Linked DNA regions of Saccharomyces cerevisiae S288C. Changing the gene in region 2 together with the main gene of any one other region gives a genetic interaction. Each region holds a gene or a part of one and is shown on either strand. Other genes may lie near its edges.

The links.
Region 1: mutations in MET22 (region 2) and HXT15 together harm fitness more than expected from each alone (negative genetic interaction), as found in Saccharomyces cerevisiae (one large-scale study listed by BioGRID).
Region 3: mutations in MET22 (region 2) and AIM26 together harm fitness more than expected from each alone (negative genetic interaction), as found in Saccharomyces cerevisiae (one large-scale study listed by BioGRID).
Region 4: mutations in MET22 (region 2) and CYS4 together harm fitness more than expected from each alone (negative genetic interaction), as found in Saccharomyces cerevisiae (3 studies listed by BioGRID).

The regions. Positions count from the first base shown.
Region 1 is NC_001136.10:9,878-15,774, forward strand, and holds HXT15 (hexose transporter HXT15), read right to left. Parts: upstream 3,484-5,897; coding exon 1,780-3,483; downstream 1-1,779. UniProt on the Saccharomyces cerevisiae protein: Probable glucose transporter.
Region 2 is NC_001147.6:204,009-209,641, forward strand, and holds MET22 (3'(2'),5'-bisphosphate nucleotidase), read right to left. Parts: upstream 3,169-5,633; coding exon 2,095-3,168; downstream 1-2,094. Other genes in the region: bifunctional DRAP deaminase/tRNA pseudouridine synthase RIB2, read right to left, coding at 1-463; phosphoinositide 5-phosphatase INP54, read right to left, coding at 723-1,877; CRT10 (Crt10p), read right to left, coding at 3,384-5,633. UniProt on the Saccharomyces cerevisiae protein: Phosphatase that converts adenosine 3'-phosphate 5'-phosphosulfate (PAPS) to adenosine 5'-phosphosulfate (APS) and 3'(2')-phosphoadenosine 5'-phosphate (PAP) to AMP. May regulate the flux of sulfur in the sulfur-activation pathway by converting PAPS to APS.
Region 3 is NC_001143.9:364,856-370,221, forward strand, and holds AIM26 (Aim26p), read left to right. Parts: upstream 1-4,509; coding exon 4,510-4,866; downstream 4,867-5,366. Other genes in the region: RGT1 (Rgt1p), read left to right, coding at 750-4,262; UGP1 (UTP glucose-1-phosphate uridylyltransferase), read left to right, coding at 5,036-5,366. UniProt on the Saccharomyces cerevisiae protein: Involved in selective mitochondria autophagy (mitophagy).
Region 4 is NC_001139.9:794,455-800,569, reverse strand, and holds CYS4 (cystathionine beta-synthase CYS4), read right to left. Parts: upstream 2,028-6,115; coding exon 504-2,027; downstream 1-503. Other genes in the region: cleavage polyadenylation factor subunit PTI1, read right to left, coding at 1-24; GTO1 (omega-class glutathione transferase), read left to right, coding at 2,702-3,772; YGR153W (uncharacterized protein), read right to left, coding at 3,825-4,478; Ras family GTPase RSR1, read left to right, coding at 5,078-5,896.

The DNA.
Region 1 (5,897 bases), on a different chromosome or scaffold from region 2:
TTTTTTTCTATATATTAAAGAGAGAGTAAGCAACTTATGGCAATGAACATACTTTAGATGGAAGAAATGCGGTTAGCAAGGTGATACAGAGGCTTCATGTGACCGGAGAAAGGAGATACGAGACCGGAGATAATAGAATATGATGAACCTTAACTGTTGAAGAGGAAGAAAGCATTAAAGTGCTTGGTAAAGACAACAGTTTTCTGAACGAAGTTCCTTCATTATTCACCCCAACCAAGCCCGATGGTTCCTGAAGCTAGGCGTAACTTTCCAACTTCAACATAGATTTTGCCACTCGGCAGTAGCTGTCCGCGAAAACTTTATTTTCTGCACCTATATGTGCCTAAAACTTACTCTCCTGCAGGGAGCTCGAGAAAATAAGGGATTGTGGGGTAATCTTTAGTGGGGGTATCTCCTGTGCCTTCCCCCGTAATTTGTTTGCCTTCATGCCTGCCTCTCCTTGTCTCAGGTCACACCATTCACGATTCCTTCATGCCTGCTACCGATTTAGTAGTAAGAAAAGCCGTGGCAAACAGTCAGGTTTACACCAGCTTTTTTCCTTGGAATTGTTAGCCCGCCTTTTGGTCGTAATGCACACCACAATAATACGTCATTAGTCAAAGTTTTCACAAAAAATTGATAAACTAAGCTTTCGTACTAATTGTAGAGATGTTGATTCGACAGATGAACGGTTCTATAGTTTCAGTGGACGTAGCGCTTTGATATTAAAAAATTATGTACAATATCATGTTAATTAGTTGAAAAATCATAATGTCAATTATCGCAAAATGAAAAGAAGAATTGGTACTCATCCAGAGTTTCAATTTAGCAAATAAAGTAATAGACAATTCATCAAGCTTTGAACTTTGTCGTAAGACCTTTCAAAAAGGAAATAAGTAAAAAGATAAAGAAACTCAATAGACTTGGAAAAAGGATAGAAATGGACATATGCCGACTTAAATGCTAAAACCCTCGACTGTTTTGAACCCATTGTTTCAATACCGTGTCTTTAACGGTTACTACCACAGTTAGGTCACAAATCTTTTAGTGGCAGATGCTCCTTGAACTACTAATGACCCAGGTCACCCAGAGAGGTCAGAGACTTTGTACGGGTACCTATATGAGGTCTTTTTACTGTATTACAAAAAAAATCTTACTCCATTCGCTATTATGTTGTGTGGAAACATGCCTCAAAATGTTTTCACCGCAAAAAGTATGCTTGTTGTATTTGCCAAGTTAACGAAGCATGAGAAAGTTTGCCCCCCCGAGTTGAAACAAAGTTATCTCTTCTAATATGATGGTTGTTTGTGCGGCCACGCTAATAACGAGCTCAAATATTCCCTTTATAGTAACAACTGAATATTTGGGAAGAATCTATATTTCTATATTATTGTATACACTTTATTTAGAGGAATGGTACAGTGTTACGTTCCTGGAAATGCATTTTTAAGGATCTTCCATAAGCACTCAAGTGGACCTATGTTGACTTCCCCATCTTCATCACCACTCCGTTTTCACTCCATAAGCATCCTACTTTTTATACTCTGCTTTGCCTTAAAGAAACAGAACTTCGTACAATGTTGCCTTAACCAAACGCTTTCTTTCACTAAATAACTCGTTATTTTATATAGTACTAGTAGTCCGAAAAAGGGAGTTTGCAAAGAAACTCGTAGTTTTTTGTTGATTAAATTTGAAATTACGTGTCACTTCGTTTTACAGTAGGCCCTATTTTTTTTCAAGAATTTATCTCTTAGCATGTTTATCAAGCGCGCATATTGATCAATTAAAACTCTTTGGGAACTTCAAAACTTCTTTCCAGCTTTTCTTCTTAGCCTCAGTTTCCCTGGAAGAAGCTCCTCTCCTTGAGGGTGGTACCCAAGATGCAGATTTCCATGGTTTTATACCTTCTTCATATAGTAACTGGATTTCCTCCAAAGATAGACCAATTGTTTCTGGTAAAAAGAAGAAAACGTACAAAAACATAGCAACCAAACAACCTACGAACACATAACCATAATAGAAGTGGATAGACCCAGTAATGAATGGTGTGAAAAAACCAATCAAGAATTGCCATAACCAGTTGAATGCAGTCGAAATTGACATTGCTTTAGATTTGACCTTCGAAGGGAATGACTCGGCAACCACAATATAAGCAACAGGGGCCCATGTCGTTGCAAAGCAGAATATATAGAAGCATGTGAACACAATCATGGCATTACCTGCACCTTTCGAGGATGGACCATCCTGGCCATGAGGGTAAAGACATTTTACCCCGATACTTGCAAATATGACCATACAAGCCATCATTGAAGCCGCTCCGAATAACAGACATTTACGACGGCCTATTTTGTCTACGACCATAACAGCAATAATAGTGGAGAAGAAATTCACTGTACCTAGGACGATCGAAGTCTCAAACCCATCAGTAAGCCCAACTGATTTGAAAATGGTAGTTCCGTAGAAGAAGAAGTAGTTTTCACCAGTAAGTTGCAAAAAGGTTTGCACAAGAATACCTGTGATCAAACGTTGAAGGACTTTTGTTTTGACGGAGAAAAGTTCTTTCCATGAGGCTTCCCCTAGTTCTCTTTGGGCAAGGACACCGGCGTTGATTTCATCAGCCTGTTTGAGTACCCATGGATCCTCTGGTGAAACCTTGTTGATCTTGGCGATGGAGACACAGGCCTCTTCATGTCTCTCACATTCAATCAGATATCTTGGGGACTCTGGAACTAATAACATGCCAACGATGATAATTAGAGCCCACAGAAAGCATAGTCCCACAGGAATCCTCCATTGCGCAGTATTACTATACTTCCTTGTTCCATAAACGCTACAATAACCCAAGAAAATACCGAAGGTCATGTTAAGTTGGTACAATGAGACAAGTCCACCTCTCAAATCTGTGGGGGCTATTTCAGATAAAAGCATTGGACACAACACCGAACAGCCACCAGCACCAAGACCGTAGATGATCTTACCGACAAAGTATTGGTACCATTTGTGATTCGAACTGATCTGAATAATTGCACCAACCATATATACCAAAACCACGATTACAATTGCTAGCCTTCTACCTAAAGTATCAGCAAGTCTCGCAAAAGCAACACCGCCAATGGAACATCCTACACTGAACATGGCCACGAGAAGACCCATACGCACGTTGCTCAAATAATACTCACCAGTACTGTGCTTGTAAGAACCAAAATTCATTTTAAAGTTATCCATATTGATGAAGCCTGCAGTAATACCACTATCCCAACCAGGTAAAAAACCGCCAAAGGATACAGGATAGCATAGTAAGTAGATAATAAGGTAACCTAAAAAGCCTCTCTTCGGTGCGTCTGGCGTATTTCCATTAATGACTTCTTTGTCATAAAACCCGTCTGACCATTCTTTCTCTCCGGGTGGCTGTACATGAACGTCAGCTGCACTACTGTTTAGATTATCTGCATTAATTTCTGGTGAGGACTGTTCGCTTGCCATTTTTTTCCTTTAGTTTCCTTTCCTCCTTTTCTGTCAATAATATCAATAGTTTTACTTCTATGGATAGTAATAAGACTAAACCTGAAGCAAACAATGAATTACTTACTTTCTTTATACGTTTGAAAGTTGGTGATTACAGGCCAACACTGGAGTTATCATACTTGAGTTATATAACCATGTTTAACTTTTTTGCAGAGCATTCGGAAAATCAAACCTTTAGCTGATTGCACTTATGATATTGAAAGGTTCAAGATGCGCAGTACAAGTCCTCGTTTGTTTACATCATCTACCTTGCCTGACTTCTTTGCTAAATTGTGCCTCTGCGCAGTGCACGTTCAAAAGAAAAGCATACCCCGCACTCTACTGTTTTTGCATTTTAGCTTTTAAGTTTTAAGTTACTACCACTGTAGCGCACAAAGCTAAAAATAATTTTGCCTGCAGCAGGCTAGCTGCATATTCATAGGCACATCATGAATTTACTGTAATACGAGACGGAGTTAAGCAAAACGGAGTTAACACAGGCGGAGACATGAAACAAGTTCAACTTCAGTAATAGTAATTGTCACGCAATATCTTGTGGAAATTTGCGTACAAGATTTTTTAAGCGCCAAAGGAGCCAAATACGGAAATAATTACCTAGTCCTTACCAAAGAAATAAAGAAAAAGAAAAAGAAAAACTGCAAACGTATAAGATATTTGGTACATTTTAAGAAGGGGATATTCACTTTAATGATCATATCGCTGATTTAGTAACCCAGATCAAGGACAAAGTTACTATTGTCGTCTTTTAAGGTGGAATCTGTGGTTAGGATCTTTACGAGTACCTAGATGATGTCATCTTTATGCCTAAGAGGTCTAGTGTCATAATTTGTTCAACGTTGCTTTTACCTCTGGCAATACTCCACAATATTTCAGGATTTGCTGCCAAAGTCCATTTTGTGCAAGAGAATGTTTATTACTGTTTTGATCGATTATGTTATCGAGGATTCTGAAAAAATGGTTTATGTCATCCGTCTGAGAAATTATGACGGAAGAATGTAAGCTGCCGGTTACAGGTAAGCAAAATATTTGCAAAGGAATTTTGAGAATTTATGGCTCGACGGCGAGATTTGAACTGTAAACGGATATGGTGAAATGAAGTAAGGGCATAATATTATCCAGCAGCTGTTCTCCCATATAGTGCGCCAAAATTGTAAACATTTTTTATATATTACGCTTTCTCCATGTGCAGGTCAATTTTATTCTTCTTTTCGTTGAAGTGATGTTACCTCATACAATGATTCAACTATAGCACCGTTTCATGCTAAGTTATTTGCACATTCTCCTTACCACAATTCCGTACAATTTAAAAATTTGAATAAAGCAGTATTGCAACAAGGCGTTACAGTCTTTGTTACCCTAAGCATGTCTCAAGAATCTATTCATGTGTGTTCATGGCTCTTCTTAAGATAATATTTCATACCTGGGGTGGCCGTTTCATATTTCTGTTTCTCTAACTTTATACCAGGAGAATTCCTTGTCTAATTTGCTACAAGTACCTTTTCAATATAAATAATTTTCAGTTAATTAACAGAGTAGGAAGAGGAAGGAACAAAAACTATCGCTTATCTTCTTGCATAGGGGTAGTGGAGTAAAGATACAAGTATTCGAGAAATAGATATACATTAAAATAGCATTACTATCCCGGGAATCTTGTTGCCATAAGGTGCTTTTATGATATCAAACCAGGGGGGAGAATATTTGGGAAGTAATTGGGAAGTAATTGTATGTATTTCTAAAATTTTTGGATACTCAACTTTTAAATTCAAAATAGTTATATTTGTTATCGAAATGTAGTAGAAATATTCTAAGTAACCAATTTCAAAACTGCATCTATCTTTGGATAAACTGGTGTGATAAGATATACATTGAATGCTGATGTCCATCACACATATGTTTACACTGGCGTCGCTCTGTACCTATTTCAGAATAGATTAATGACAAAGTAAAAGTTCAATAGGCGGGCGGAAAAAATTAGAGATTCATTGAATCTCTAATTTATTTAAAGTTTATAAGTCGTTACATATTTTTCTATGGTAAGTTCCTGGATGTTCTGGTACATCGAGCGTATTTAATATGTCCATTTGGCATGTCCTTTATATGCCCATCTTGTATAAGGTAGTTTTAAATTCTAAGTTATTCAATACTACTGACTAATCATTGTTAATAGCAATTTCGCAGTCATGTTGGGCTCAAAATACTATAGTCATTTTTGTGATTTTTTTTTTTTATTATTTTGATTGAAGAAGGAACAATTCGAAATATGGAGAAAACGTAAAAAATGTTAGAGTTATAATCGAAATTATCCTAGTTCAGATACTGAAACTTAGGCATAGGTGTAGTCACAAGGTATTTCCCTTTACATATATATTTGT
Region 2 (5,633 bases):
GCGGTTCATGTCGATGTACTTTATGTGTGATCAGATCACCGTCACGAATGATGGTATCAAGGTTTGCAGGTTCATCGTTTAAGTATACTTTTCCCTCTGCAATGGTTTTGGAATAATAGCTGGGCTCTCGATCCCTGAATTCGCTCACGAATACATCCACCAACTTACGATCTCTCCACCTCTCCTTACAGAAAGTTTTATAAGTGAAAAAATAAGGCTCAATCTTCCTTAAGGGTCCATCAATTGTCACTTCATAATCAGGGTCTGTCTTTTTAGTTTTGTGCCCATCGGTTTGAATAACTCTCAGTCTGAATCCACTCGCATCTTTGACTTTGGAACTGTTTTCGTTCCTATTATTATTCCTGTTCGCGAATTTTCTTAACTTCACTTCCTTTGCAGACTCAATTTCTTTGTTTAATAAGTTGTTGAAGTCATCGCTGGCTTCATTATTAGAGTCCTCCATTTTGATTGGTTTGTTAATCTAATATTGATAGTTTTTTTTTTAATGTTCTTCTCTCTCTTCTTCCTGTTTTTTCATGGCAATAATTTTGACTAGTTTTTCTTTTTTTTTTTTTTTTTTCATTCTTTTTCATTATTACTTAAGTTCTGTAAAGATATATGGAAGAGAAAATAAAAAGAATAAAACCAAAGATAGTGGTACAACTGACGTTATCTGTTTCAGACATAAATGAAAAACTTCTAGCCTGACAGCCCAGATCACTTTACAGGATTTTTAATAGTAAATATAATAGTAAAGAACCTAATATCCAATAATGTACATTCTTAGTAACTAGCCAACCGCAGTACCCGATGACTGCGTCACCAATTTGTCCAATCAGGCCAGAGCTCCATGATAAAGGATACTTTTCGATATGTAAGGATAACGGCACTGGCGTCCCTGTAGACCTTGGTAATCTTACGGTAAGATTAACGGGTTGATGATCGCTAAATAATAGAGCATTGGACCTAGGGACGGAATGGTAAGTACCTTCTTGTGCGAAAGTTGGCACTGCATAGCTTTTGTAGAGAATCCTATCGCACCACGACGGGATTCTTTTTGTATTATATGTTTCCTTTTCAAACAACTTGAATTTGTATGTCGGTGGAAATGTTATCTTCAGCTCCTGAAAACCTTTGCATAACGGTTCATCCTCTCCTTTACGTAGCAGATTTAGTTCTTCATGATTTTCTAATAGACGCCTTAACGTTGTGGTGGACGAATAATTGGTAGTTGGATCATAAGTACTAGTAACCCTAAAATTCAAATCGCCTAGAAAGAAAAAGTGGTCGCTTTTTGCAACCTCAGAATCACACACTTCACTCATTATTCGTTTGTAATCATCTATTCTTTGATTTCTATTGTTGACACCTTCATTTGCATTTAAATGAGCACAAATATAGCTAAATCTTTCCCAGTTCTCCTCGCCATTGCGTGTCATCTGAAAACTTATCAAAGTTCCACCTTTCAAGTGTGTACCAAACCAACCGCATTTCCCATTCCGTTTCAAAATATCATCTTTTACCTTTAGCGCATTATTATTGTATAATACTATTATGGTAATCGCCCCAAGACTATTCACCCCTAAACATGAATACTGCTCATCCCCTTGTGTAGCTGACACTTTTTCATTCAGACAATTAACCGCAGTAGTTGTAATTCTATCGATTAAATCACGATTAACAGCAGGGAAGGAGCCTTGCCATATGGGGACTACTTCTTGGAACCCCAACACATATAGATCTTGCAATTCCAATTGGGAGATGCCGTCATCGTAGGGGAAAAGCAATTGCTTAACGATTGCTTTCGAATTTTCAACGGGAAATTCCTTACCACAATTGAATGTAGTTACAGATACCTTCCAATTCGTTTTGTTCATTCGGTCAGAATCCTGCTGTATTTTCTTGTCTCACTTTTCTTCTTTGTTAGCCTACTCTTACCTCTTCAGTTTTGTTCTTTTCACTGTATTTTCCTTTTTTCACGCTATAACAACAATAAAAAAAGGTTATCATTTAACTGGTATGTACATACACATACACACATATATATATGTACTCATATATTTATGTCTATCAATAAAGTAAAATATATGTTATTTAGGCGTTTCTTGACTGAATGACATCGCATGATGTAGACACCACCAAGTCATGTAACTCGCGTGGGCCACTTGACGCTATAACTCCCTTCGTAGCTAGCGTTCTACCGTTACCGAAGTCTAGAGGAACATCTTCCATGGCATCTGTATGGATACCTCCAGCTTCATGGACAATAACGTTGCCTGCAGCATGGTCCCAGATCTTTTCTTGGTAAGAAAGTTTGATAGGCAGACGTAAATATACGTCTGCTAAGCCCAATGCTAACAAACAGTACTTGGCTTGAGAATCCAAGTGCAAAGATTTGGATATATTTAGTTTGTTTTTGATAGCAGTTTGTTCATCATGAGAGGAGTGTCCCTTTTCAACTCCCTCTAAAGTAATCATGTCTTTAGTGTCTTTTAAGTGTCTAACGTGGATTTTGGTCCATGACTCTGCATCTGAAGATGGAGAATAGAAGGCACCTAAACCTCTAACAGCACGAAAGATATAACCAAATGACTCATGGCCTTTCAAATCTTGGGCCCCATAAGAACTTAAAACTAAGTTGGGGCATCCAATACAACCAAGCTGAACAACACCGTCCACAATTAAGGCCAGACATACTGCAAACTGTTCACCTCTTAAAAACCCCTTGGTTCCGTCAATAGGATCCAAACACCAAAATCTTCCTTTTCTACCACCTTCGTAATTGCCGAAATCGATGATTTGCCTGACGTCCTCCAAAGATTTTAGCGGAAACTGATCGTTTGTAAACAGAAAATCATCCTTTTTATAATTCTTGTTATAAACTTCGTCATTGGCTTTTATTTCGTTTAAAATTCCTGAGACGAATGCGTCGCTCAATCCTGATGAGGATTCTTCACCAACTACCTTATCATCAGGAAAATTGCTCTTGATAGCATTTATGATGATCGTTTGTGCAGCATAATCACCTGTGGTTACTGGAGAATTATCATTCTTGGTAATAGTAGTGGAGTCCTTGTGAGAAATCACTTCAGATTGAATTCTCTTAGTCAATAAAGACGCCTTTCGTACAGCTTGAGTTGCAACCAATAATTCTCTTTCCAATGCCATAGTAAAGTGCTGATGTCTTCTGAGTTGTCTTTAAACTTCTTACTTACTAACTAATAAATTAAAGAGAAGTGCAAACGTTCTTTATATGTGGCATGGTTTCTTCTTTGCAAACTGAAAGTAAAATCGCAACACGTGATATTGCTCGTCTGAGTCATTCGCGCATTTCAATGAAGGAAGGATTATTATATAGATGGCTATGTAAATGTCAAAATATGCTATTGTTGAGTTGTTCCATGCTCAGTTGTGATCTTGAATGCCCTCAAGGAGCCTCTTGATGCTACGTATAAGGTAGCATATCCCTTACGTTTTAACTCTTCACTGTCAGATGCATAAGTGTAATCTAGTCCGCAAATATCACCCATGGGGAAATAGACGTCGCACACGCCGCAGTATGTGTCCGAGCTCTCTCCATCTGCACCATACATTGGTGCGTCAAACAAGTTCCTGTTACATCTGCACTCTGGACTAGGGTTAACAGGGTCTTGGACTTCCCATCCAAGAATATACTCTTGTCTAAACGAATAGATGCCTCTGTACTCTGTTAGTCTTAGTAATGAAATGAGACCCAATTGTGAAGCCACGGCTATGCAATTTAGTTCTTTGATGTGACACACAAAATTTATTCTGTTTAGTGCTTGGAGCAGCGACTTGGAAGCACACGTCACAACACCATCTAAGGGAAAAATCTCATGATGAGTTGCTGATATAATTATGAGTGGATTTGCTTTCATCAACACCAGCCTATGGGCTGTGGTTAGGAAGAAGAACTCGTCGTGCATTTCGGATAGTTGATACCCAAGAGGCGAATCTTCTGAGCCCGGTACTGCTGACTCTAATAACCGCTTGACGTTTCTTACATAGTTGTGGAACCCCCAAGATTTCTGCGATTCTGATTTCAAGTGAGCACGCTGTTCAGTATCCCTATATCTTCGCTGGAAACTTGTTAAGCTGCTACCAGATTCTTCATTTTCAGGGTCGCTATTGACATCGTCCTCTTCTGTAGAGTTCAGTTGAAGGCTACAAATTTCTGGGTCCTTCAAGACCGTGTTCAAATCCTTGCCAAAAAGTGTTCTCCAATCGGCAGCGGCATCGGTGTTGTACCATAAAAAGTTTCCCGATTCAATATTTGGTATATGATTTACTGAACTTAGCGATTTGAACTCTTTTGAAGTTCGTAGTTGTCTTTGTTTATCCATTTTCAAATTACGAATACTTCTATTAAATTCGCGAGATATATCTTCAATATCATTTTCGAGATCAGTAAGTTTATAAGTAGACGGCTCACAGATCTTTCTCCCAGAAGTGTTTTGATATTGCGATGTTTTATTTCTTCCACTAGGAGTTATCAACTGTGGAAAAGTATTAATAATATCCTTGTATTTCGAAAATCCACGCTCAGTAGCACGATAATGTTTATAACCAGAATCCTCCCAAAATGTCCATTGGTGTAAATGCTGTTCACATGAGGTGTTTTTTGTCACTGCATCATTCATATCGTCTAAGTCACCGGCATGTAAAATAAGTGCAAAATCCTCTCTGCTGTACTCGTATTTTATCGAGCCCGTTGTAGTGTAATTTCTATCAAATGAGGTAAATCTTAATGGTATAACTTCATCGGGGATCCCTGCTGAAGAAGTCAGTCGTAGGTCTGTGACAGGAACCTGAAATTGATTGAGTAATGTACCAATACCGAAATTCCCAGAGAGGTAGGCGTTATCACAGTAATACCCAAGTAAAAAATCATCTCGGCAAATAGAATATAACATGCTTTCTTTGAAACCGTCTTGGTAGTTAAGATTCAACAATTCGAAATTGTCAACTTTCGCAAAATCCTTCTTAGTCAGTGGAGTTATTGTCCATAAGTCGTCGCCAAAAAATTGAGTATCAAGGAAACTCGTTAAAATGGTACAATCATGCTCCTTTAATTTAACGGTAACAACATTCCCAAATATAGAACAATAACTTAATGTAATATATCCAACAGAATCTTTTGAATTAGGAACAAAGTTAACACAAGGAACATTGTGAGATGAGGGAAGATCTAGAGGCCGAATGTACCGTCTTTCCTTCTTTACATCTTTATCGAATGCAAAGACTGTAACTCCAGGCTTGTTATGGCCAACAGCGATATATATGATGCCATTTATATCTATTACATCAACACTCCAACAAGATTCCTCTACTCTTAACACCATATATGGATCAACATTTATGTATCTTTCCCGGCTGTTATCTTTGCCTCCCAAGATATCCGAAGTAAATTTATTAAATATCTTAATAACTTTGTTGATTTCCCAGATATAAACGATTCCGTTGTCACCGCAAGCTAGTAGAAAATCTTGATGCATGAAGTTACAAATCTTCATAAAGTTGATAGAACATAGTTCAGGTATGCTGTTGAACTGTGTATCCTTAAATTTCACATATGATGAATTGCGGAAGTTTCTTACATCTCCGTCATCTGG
Region 3 (5,366 bases), on a different chromosome or scaffold from region 2:
TTTTTGTCAAACGCTCTGAGTAATAGAATATACATGCGACAACATTTGTAGTTACTTGTCTTACGCTTCCTAGGGAACGGATCATCCGAGTAGAATATCATTTTACGGGATCACTTTATTCGGTGTGATTGCTCGTTAAGCCGCACGACCATTTTATGGGCACGCTTCCGCAAGTTGGTTCTTTCATCAGAAGCTTTACCACGATTGGCAAGTCATGTAGCATGTGCGCTAACATCGTTTATCGTTTTCTGTGACGTGGCTTATGAGCACCAGAGACGAATAATCAACAGTACATCAAACAAAAGCTACGTCACCTCACCAATAATCCGAGCTTCTTGAAATGGCAGGTATTGGATTCATAAAATATGTCGCTGCTTTGTGCATTTTCCTTTAGTTTTTTCCTTTTTTTTCATGTAGCTAACTAAGCAAGACGATTATGGGAAGGGACCTTTTAAGGAAAAACAGGAAAAAAAAATAGTAGCAACTAGTAAAAATTCAAAAAATAAAAAAAGTCAAAATAAGAACACATCAGTTAGGAACCGTGCTTGGAGTTTTGAGACTGGAGTATTGTCCATCCAACATATTCTGCTCTTTCACCATAGACTTCGTTGGAAATCGCCTCTCCCTTGTACTATATTGTGCAGAACCGTTCCCGCAATTTTCATTGGTGCAATAATAACACGCTTCTTCGATTCTCACATTTGTCAAGAAGCTGTACTCTTCTCTCAAACTCCAATATATTTCAAATTATGAACGAGCTGAACACTGTTTCGACTAACTCCAGTGACTCCACCAAGAACGGTGGTACATCCAATAGTCCCGACGATATGGACTCCGCAGCAGCAGCAAGTCACGCAATAAAGAAAAGAACAAAGGCCTCCCGGGCCTGCGATCAGTGTCGTAAAAAGAAGATTAAATGTGACTACAAAGATGAAAAGGGGGTCTGCTCAAACTGCCAAAGGAATGGAGACCGTTGTAGTTTTGATAGGGTTCCTTTGAAAAGGGGACCCTCGAAAGGCTATACGAGGAGCACCAGCCATCCAAGGACTAACGAAATACAAGACCACAATAACTCAAGGTCGTATAATACGTTTGATAATAGTAACAATACCCTGAATAATAATACGGGCAATAGCGGCGACAACGGTATAAACAGTAACACAGTTCCAAGTACCCCTTCGAGATCTAATTCAGTTTTATTGCCCCCACTGACACAGTACATTCCCCAGGCTGGTGGCATTCCTCCTAGTTTCCAAAATCCAGCGATACAATCAACTATGCCCGCGGGTAATATTGGCCAACAGCAGTTTTGGAAAGTGCCCTACCATGAGTTTCAACACCAAAGAAAAGGATCTATCGATTCTTTGCAAAGTGATATATCGGTAAGAACATTAAATCCCAACGAGCAGTTGTCTTATAACACCGTTCAACAGTCTCCCATAACGAATAAACATACTAATGATTCTGGAAATGCAAACGGAAGTGTCACCGGCTCAGGCAGTGCCTCTGGTAGTGGTGGTTATTGGTCCTTTATAAGAACTTCTGGTTTACTAGCTCCTACTGATGATCATAATGGGGAACAGACAAGAAGATCAAGTTCCATACCTTCTTTGCTACGAAATACTTCAAATTCTCTTTTACTAGGTGGCCAGCCTCAGCTTCCCCCACCTCAGCAACAATCGCAGCCACAAGCACACCAACAAAAGTTGCAACAAGGACAGAACCTATACTCGTATTCTCAATTTTCCCAGCAGCAACCGTACAACCCATCGATATCATCTTTTGGCCAGTTCGCTGCTAATGGTTTTCATTCTAGACAAGGATCAGTCGCCAGCGAGGCTATGTCTCCCAGTGCACCTGCCATGTTTACTAGCACATCTACAAACCCCGTAAATGTTGCACAGCAAACACAAAGACCTCAAGGACAGCAGGTACCGCAATTTTCATCTGAGTTGGATGGAAATAAAAGGCGACAATCAGCCCCCGTATCAGTAACATTATCCACGGACAGGCTGAATGGTAATGAGAATAATAATGGTGAAATTAACAACAATAATGGCAGCAATAATAGCGGTTCTTCTAAGGATACATCTCAACATTCCCAAGAATCTGTAACTACACCAGCGGCTTTGGAAGCATCCAGCCCTGGATCAACGCCACAGAGAAGTACAAAAAAACGCAGAAAAAGTTACGTATCTAAGAAGACAAAACCAAAGAGAGATTCATCTATATCTATAACATCGAAAGATTCTGCTCACCCAATGACCACTTCATCAACTATCGCGTATGGACAGATATCCGATGTAGATCTAATAGACACCTACTATGAGTTCATACATGTAGGATTTCCGATCATACCTTTAAACAAAACGACCTTGACCAGTGACTTATTGTTAGTTAACACACAGCCAATTTCCAATATACACGAAGTCAATTCATATGTTATTTTGTGGTTTAGAAATTCATTGGAATTGTTAGTTCGTGTTGCTCTGAAACAAAAGCCAGGTGGCAAGTTTTTCGATAATATTGTTGGCGTGGCTTTGTCGCCAAGTAATGACAACAACAAAGCTGGGTTCACTACAGCCACGGCAAGGGATGATGCTGAAAAAACAAGACGTGATTCACATAATGAAGTACAGGATACTTTGGAAGTGCAAAGCGTTTTTATTGCCGCCCTCAATGAATGTTTCCAAAAAATCGTGGATATTCATCCCAAATTCAGAGAAAACAACGACCAAATTTCGCCGAAGATCAAAGTCATTTATTTATCTACTTTTATTCTTTTAAATTACATTTTGGCATTTGTTGGATACGATAACTCATTTGTACTTGGAATGTCGGTGACAATTTTTAACGAATTTAAATTATACAAACTTCTATTATTTCCGGAGCCGGATATAAATGATGTGAAGCCTCCAGTTGATGAAGAGGTCAGCACTGGTAATGGGAATACAAAAACGTCCGAATTTGAAATTGGATCTGAAAGTGCTGGGCATATGAATCCATCCAATTCACCAAATTCCATGGACGAAAACATTAGTCACTATTCAGTGTTGTTTAAAAGATTATACGTTTTGCTTTCAGTGTTTGATTCTTTACAAAGCTGTGCATTCGGTGGTCCCAAGCTATTAAACATTTCCATCCAAGGTTCTACAGAAAGATTTTTTTCTAATGATTTGGGCTCAAAATGGTGCCTGGAACAAAGCCAATTGAGACTGAAAAGCGTCTTGCAAAGCTTGAAATTGGGTGAATTGATGAGTGAGCTTACCAGGAATAGAATATCAATGAACGGCAATAGGAAGCCTGGGTTCGATATTACGAACTCGTCTTCACTCTTATCGGAATATGTGGAAACTCAACCTCTATCCGTAGCACAGTTATTTTGCAAGCTATTAATTGGCAAACACAATTTCATCAATTGCTTATTATCATTATACGATTCAGAAGCAGGAGTCTATTCAGATTTGACATTGGATTTGAGTTCGAAAATAGCAGACTCTCTGTGCTCATTGATATCAATAATTTTGCAAGTATTGACGTTGATATTAAGACTGAATCCTACGAACAGTATTGATTTTAATTATAGACCACCGAACCCACCCGCTAATAATCCGACAGTGCAAGAGGGCCCATCTGCTATGGGCTCGTCTCCAGTCGCTGGGAACCTTAGCGCTGCACCTCCATCGGAGGGGAATCCAGATTTTTACAAGAAATTACTAGGCCTGAAACAAGACACTGGCACTATCCTTTCAGACCTTTGCCGGGGGATAATTTCCCCCTTTGCTATTGCTATCCTGCACGAGGTCTACAACATCACTGAACTGGTCAAGCAGATGCCTACATCACTCATTAGCATTATGATGACGGCAACTACAACGCAGAATACTCAGGACACCAAGAAGTCGCAGGACCTGGTCATGAAGCTGTCAAACTCGATGAATGAAGTAGTTCAAATCACCAGCGTGCTGACAATGATCAAGCCATTCAAGATCTTCGAGCACGAGCTTAATAAGCCCATAATGTCCCTGACAGGAGGACTTTCGTCCACGACCAGAAACGACGTCATGTGGCCAAAGTCGGGCCAAGGCCTCCGCGAGTCATCAGTCATGAAGACATTGCTTGATGAACGCCGTACTTCTGGTACACAACCGACAACGGCGCCAGTAGCCGCAGAGGAACCCAGGCTTGAGAACGTTGCCCTGGAAAATTTCGTTAGTATCGGCTGGAAGCTGTTGGACGATTCCGAGTTAGGCTGGTATTGACAGGTAACTATGCTCCCTTCTCCTGTAGGTCAGGTTCTCCCTTCTCCTCAGGCAGAAATTCGCGTAAAGAACTACCATGCAATGAATGACCAATTTAAGTAAAACACATAAATAATACTTACTTACACATATACACACTAGCTGTTTTAACCTGTAACAATACTGCCTTGTCAGAGTGCGCACGGCCTTTTACTCTGGTGCTCCACCATCTTCCACGGTATTCGAGAGTCGCCAAGCTCAGGGGCGCATGCAGACAATGGGCGGGGAGCACCTTCTTCTTTCACAGCTAAAGGGGTCTTTCTTTCTCCTACTTTTGGCATACTTTTTCAGGGGCAGAAGTCCTTATTACGCACGTTGCTACCGCCGGCTTGCTGTTACACCTGGTGCCATCACTATTGCCATTGCCATTGCTACAGATTCAATTCCGGCGCTTGCAAAGTCCAAAGTTCTGGTGTCGGTTTGTTCTCACACAGATCCCTGTACAGCGTCTTGTAACCTGATCCCCTTCCCCCGCCCCTTCTCGAACAGCCTGACGCGCTTCCTCTTTTGTTTGGGCTCGGCCCGTTTTTGCATTTCCTTTCCCTGTTTTGGATTGAGTATATAAATCTAAACAAACAACAAAGTTCTTCCAGCAGGTACCATGAGATTGAAGTTACGGTTTTAGGAGTTGGAGATTCAATTTCTGGTTCTTTCCACATCAGCAACGTTAAAAGGCCTAGTCCTCTTCCGATTATATAATATAACTTCCACAGCAAGTGTACCATAACATAATAATGTCCACTAAGAAGCACACCAAAACACATTCCACTTATGCATTCGAGAGCAACACAAACAGCGTTGCTGCCTCACAAATGAGAAACGCCTTAAACAAGTTGGCGGACTCTAGTAAACTTGACGATGCTGCTCGCGCTAAGTTTGAGAACGAACTGGATTCGTTTTTCACGCTTTTCAGGAGATATTTGGTAGAGAAGTCTTCTAGAACCACCTTGGAATGGGACAAGATCAAGTCTCCCAACCCGGATGAAGTGGTTAAGTATGAAATTATTTCTCAGCAGCCCGAGAATGTCTCAAACCTTTCCAAATTGGCTGTTTTGAAGTTGAACG
Region 4 (6,115 bases), on a different chromosome or scaffold from region 2:
TGTTCTTCTTCTGGGATCTGTCATCAATTTTTTTCCTTCGTTCTTCGTTCTTCGTCTTCTCCAGTTGTGAGTTTTCTAAATATACCTATATATAAAATAATAAAATCTAATCAATGCAACGTGTTTGACAGTGACGTTTACAGATAGGACGACCGGATGAGCGACTGAAAAAGGTGCTATTATGAATGCACGGTTTCGCAAGACCTCAAACAATCGTACTAGTATTTCTGAAATTCTGCTTTACTGCCCGACCTTTCCAACATGTCGCTGTTTTTTTGTTTTTCTTCAGAGTCGGGTAAGAGCAATAAAGTGAAAAGTTAACAGATTCAAACACTGATGTGATGCATGCATGATAAGGAATTTGTAAAAATAATAGAACAATGCTGCTTCGTATAGGCGCTATTTAATTAAGTAGTTATATAAAGAGAACGGTGCAATTGAATAGGAAAGGAATGACGGATTTTGCTTCTATGTTTGCTTTTATTTGAAGCGTGGGTTCTTATTTATGCTAAGTAGCTCAGTAAATCCATCTTAGTAACGATATGGATTGGTTTCAAGCCATCAGTGATAACGGCAGATGAGTTTTTTTCAAAGAAACGATTCAAGTCAGATAGCTTTGAGTTTTCATCGAATTTAATAAACTTCTTCTTACCGGATTTATTTTCGTTGTAAGAGGAAACATCATTGAAATTGTTTAATTTCTTGAAGTCCAAGTATTTACCCTTTATAGTGTTGTCGTTGTTTGAATTATTGATTGATAGTTTTCTTAGAAGCTCAGAGAGAGTAACTAAACCAGACAACTTGCCGTCTTCAGTCAACACAGGCAATTGGTCAAAGCCATTGTCTTTTAATATCTTGATAACATCAGTGACCTTAGCGGTTTCCTTAACGGAAACAACCGGTTTCAAGTGAAGATCCTTTACAGTAGCGTTACCAAACACATCAGCGTATTTTGTCGTCGAAGCCTCCAGCTTTGAAGAGTCAAAACGGGCCAACACGTCATCATCCCACAAATTGTTCTTTTTCAACCATTCGTCATCGACGAATTTGGTTAGGTACGACCTGATGGAATCTGGGAATATGGCAACAATGACATCATCTTCAGTCAGTTCAGGGTGGTCTTCACAGTATTTCACAACCGCAGTGAAGGCAGAACCGGAAGAACCACCCACCAAGACACCTTCGTTAGAAATCAATTGTCTGGCGTATTTGAAAGAAGGCTTGTCGTCTGTCTTATACCAAACATCAATTAATTTTCTGTCCAAAACCTGAGGAACAAAATCATAACCAATACCCTCAACTTTGTAGTCAGTGATATCAGTCTTATTCAAGTTTTCAGGTTGGGCTAAAATTGAACCGAATGGGTCAGCACCAACGATTTGGATCTTATCATTCTGTTCTTTCAAGTACTTGGAAATACCGCTAATAGTCCCACCAGTACCAGCACCAGCAACAACAGCGCGTAGATTATCAAATAAATTCAAGTCTTCTAGCTGTCTTTGGATTTCGCGACCAGTACCAAAGTAATGAGCTTCTGGGTTCATCATATTGTTATATTGGTCAAGTATAACAGCACCAGGAATCTCTTTTTCCAACTTCTTAGCAACACCAATATGTGATTCTGGAGAATCCCAGGCAGCAGCAGTTGGAGTTCTGATGATTTCAGCACCCAGAGCCTTTAGGACAGAAACTTTCTCGTTAGACATTTTTTCCGGCAAGGTGATGATAGTTCTGTAACCTTTGATGGCGCCGATTAAAGCTAGACCGATACCGGTGTTACCAGAAGTAGGTTCGATCAGAGTAGATCTGGAAGGATGAATTCTACCGGAAGCTTCAGCTTCTTCCACCATAGACTTGGCAATTCTGTCTTTGATGGAACCACCTGGATTGTATAGTTCCAGCTTAGCATAAATTTGTGGTTTGATACCCAAAGCCTTAGGCAATTTTTTCAGTGCGATCAATGGGGTGTTACCAACTAAGTCGATAACGTTATGTCTTGAATCGGCTTGCTGCTCAGATTTAGTCATTTTTATTCTTACGTCGTATTTATCTAGATGTCCTTTGAGCAAGTGGCCTACAACGAAATCTTCAAGTGTTGCCTTTTACTTTGGCATAGAAGCATCACGACATTTATATATACAAGCCTGGTGAAGTGCCTTGCGTTTACTTTAACCTTTAGGAGAAAAAAATTTTCGGTGTTGGTTTCTTTTTTTCCTTTCGGTGCAAAACTGTGGAGGAAGATGGCAATAAATTAGTGAAACGGTAATGCCGTGTGGACTGCATATGCCGGATATAGCATTTATCAGTCACGACAGAGCTGATTATCCTTACTTGGGTGAAGTTGAAGTTGTTGTGATAAGGTTAGAATGCAAATGAAGCTTTGTCAGCGCTGAGAAAGAAAATTTTGTTTTGTGAGCCACTACTATCACGTGCCATTACCATTTTAATCAGTTATGAAATAGGGGAATGTGTCATTGAGGGAAAATGTAATGGCCACCAAATGAATCAGAGGGTCGGATGAGAACACACCCTTACTAACTGCTGTTCATATCTCACAGTTGCCATTGATAAGCTCTGGTGGGAAAATACCCTTGATTTTTGGTAGCACATATTGACATAACAAAAGTCTTGACTTTGCCAATTGGAGAGATGGCCACTTATAGAGGAAAATACTCGTAAAAATAATCATAAACAGTAAGCCATGTCAGTATCTTACAAGGGAACAATTTCTAAGACACATTCTGTTTTTAAACCAGAAAAAGGAAGGTATTATATTTACGGGGCCCTTGGGTGTCCATTCACTCATAGAGCCATTCTTGCCAGGTCTTTGAAGAAATTAGAACCTGTTCTAGGGCTTGTGTTATCTCACTGGCAATTAGACTCCAAGGGTGCCCGTTTCTTACCTGCTCCACACCGGCCGGAAAAATATAAAGAGAGATTCTTTACTGCCACTGGTGGCATTGCTTCAGCTAAATTAGACGAATCTGAGGAGTTAGGTGATGTGAACAATGACTCTGCAAGGTTGTTCGTGGATGGCGCTTTCGACCCGGTGGAAAATATATCAAGGTTAAGCGAGTTGTACTACTTAAATGATCCTAAGTACCCCGGTACAAAGTTCACTGTGCCTGTTCTGTGGGATTCTAAAACAAGGAAAATTGTTAACAATGAGAGTGGCGATATCATAAGAATTTTGAACAGTGGCGTGTTTGATGAATTTATCCAAAGCGAAGAAACGAACGTGATTGATCTAGTTCCGCATGATTTAATAGACGAGATTGATAAGAACATCAAATGGGTTCATCCGAAGATTAATCTTGGTGTCTATAAAGTCGGATTAGCAGAAAACGGAAAGATTTACGAAACTGAAGTAAAAACACTGTTTGAAAACTTGCAGAAGATGGAATGTGTACTAAAAGAAAATTATAAGCGCTTAGAGGAGCAATTCAGTGGTAACAAACAGAAAATCTTGGCTAAATATTTTGTTTTAGGACAGAGGTTAACTGAAGCGGATATCAGATTGTATCCATCAATAATTAGATTTGACGTCGTGTACGTGCAGCACTTCAAATGCAATTTGAAAACTATAAGGGATGGTTTCCCGTACCTTCATTTGTGGTTGATTAATCTATACTGGAATTACGCAGAGTTTAGATTTACTACAGATTTTAATCATATTAAGCTCTTTTACATCAGGATGGAAGTAAGTAGGAACAAGATCAATCAGTTTGGTATAGTGCCATTAGGCCCAAAGCCTGACATTTCTAGATTATGAAAACTTCTAATATTTTCTTACACACACATATATTTATATGCATGGCTATACTTCAAAAGAGGTTGTCACTTCCATTTCCATGTAGGTAAAACTCGTGTATAGACGGAACACAGACTTCCCTAGTTTTATTGACTTCATAGTCTCTGCACCATTCAATTATGTCTCTGTAAAAGAGACTCTTCTTTATATCGCCCTTTTCTATATTCTCCATCTCCAGTTCTTTGAAGCATTTTGCTTTTCTCGATTTATGACAACCACACGGTTTTACACTCTCCTCTCCATGTTCTACCATTTCATGCCTCCAGTCAAAAAATGGTTGACTGTATTCCCTACTTGAATCCATACTTGATTCAACAAGGTAGTTTCTCGAATTCTCAGGTAGTACTGCCACCCTCCTTAAACGTTTCTCTCTTTGTCTTGCTTCCTTTCTTTGTTCTATTTTTGGCGGAATGGTAAATTTCACAGGATTCTTGGATCCATTCTCATTTTCATTCAAGGCATTTAAGTCCAAGGAAAATAACCGTATGCTCACGTTGGACCCTTCAAACGTGAAACTATCTTCACTCAATATACTTCCTACACCGCATTGTTCCTCGTTACTACTTGAATCCTGTATATCTGAGAGAGAGGTAAAAAATGAGTAGGTATCTCTTTCCCCCTCACATTCGTAAGTGCCGACTTCTTTATTCAAACAGGCCTTTCCCATTTCTCAAAGACCTCTTTTCGTAACCTATTTAGTAATGATGAAAAGTATTAAACAGTATTTTCAAGATAAGAATTTTATTATTTTGTACCATTTACGATACACATAAACCCCAGAAAAAAACAACTTTATGGGAAAAGGCGAATAGTACTCATAATATACAAGGTAAAAGCAGGCGTATCTCAGTCATACAGTTCAATAGAGAAAGGCATTTTTGGAATATCATACATTTTATCTAGCAAGTGGAAACAGACTGTATATTCCCAAGAATCATCGCCTTTTTATCACAACGTCAGCCTCACAACTAATTCGCGTCAAAGCGCATTCATCCTCGACATTCTCAAACGCGAAATATCGTCGAAAAAGGTTAAAAAGAAAAGAGAGAAGGACAGAAAAAGAAAAAAGTAAAGTAGAGCTCGATCTCGAAAAAAAGAACCATTGCGTTCGTTCTTAACTACGCCAAGAAGTTTTTGAAATTTCATCCTCTCCACTGAACAATAATACTATTATTTAGTAACGATATAGAACATTTACATACAACGTTCTAATATTTTGGCTTCTATCATCGCTTAGAAATATTTGGCTAGGAAACATTAGGACTAATGAGAGACTATAAATTAGTAGTATTGGGTGCTGGTGGTGTCGGTAAATCCTGCTTAACCGTGCAGTTTGTACAGGGAGTTTATTTGGATACGTATGATCCAACGATCGAAGATTCTTACAGGAAAACCATCGAGATCGATAACAAGGTATTCGACCTGGAAATTTTAGATACAGCGGGTATAGCACAATTTACTGCAATGAGAGAATTATACATAAAGTCAGGAATGGGGTTCCTGTTGGTATATTCAGTAACAGATCGGCAATCTTTGGAAGAATTAATGGAGCTAAGAGAACAGGTCCTTAGGATCAAAGATTCCGATCGCGTTCCAATGGTTCTAATAGGTAACAAGGCTGATCTAATCAATGAAAGGGTAATAAGTGTGGAAGAAGGTATAGAGGTAAGCAGTAAATGGGGTAGAGTTCCCTTTTATGAAACAAGCGCTTTGTTGAGGAGCAATGTGGATGAAGTGTTCGTTGATTTAGTTAGGCAAATCATTCGGAATGAAATGGAAAGTGTTGCAGTTAAAGACGCAAGAAATCAAAGTCAACAATTTAGCAAAATCGAGTCTCCATCAACCAGGCTCCCTAGTTCTGCGAAACAGGATACGAAACAATCAAACAATAAGCAATCATCAAAAGGTTTATATAACAAATCTTCACAAGGACAAGCTAAAGTTAAACAATCTACTCCGGTTAATGAAAAGCACAAACCGTCACATGCCGTTCCGAAATCTGGTTCTAGCAACAGGACAGGAATTAGCGCTACTTCACAACAAAAGAAAAAGAAGAAAAACGCTTCCACTTGCACTATTCTATAGTCACTTAATTTTATTATAAATGAATCAAGATATCAGATAAAAAGACTTTACTTGAAATAGTTTTATTATAGTTCTAAAAGGTTTAGTTTAAAGTATTAGCATACGTTGTATAAGTTTTTAAAGAAATCAATTAATAATGTTTGAAAATAAATTTAAACCCAAAAAAAATGAAATGTTAAAAATATGGACGCAACCGGAATCGAACCGATGACCTCTTCC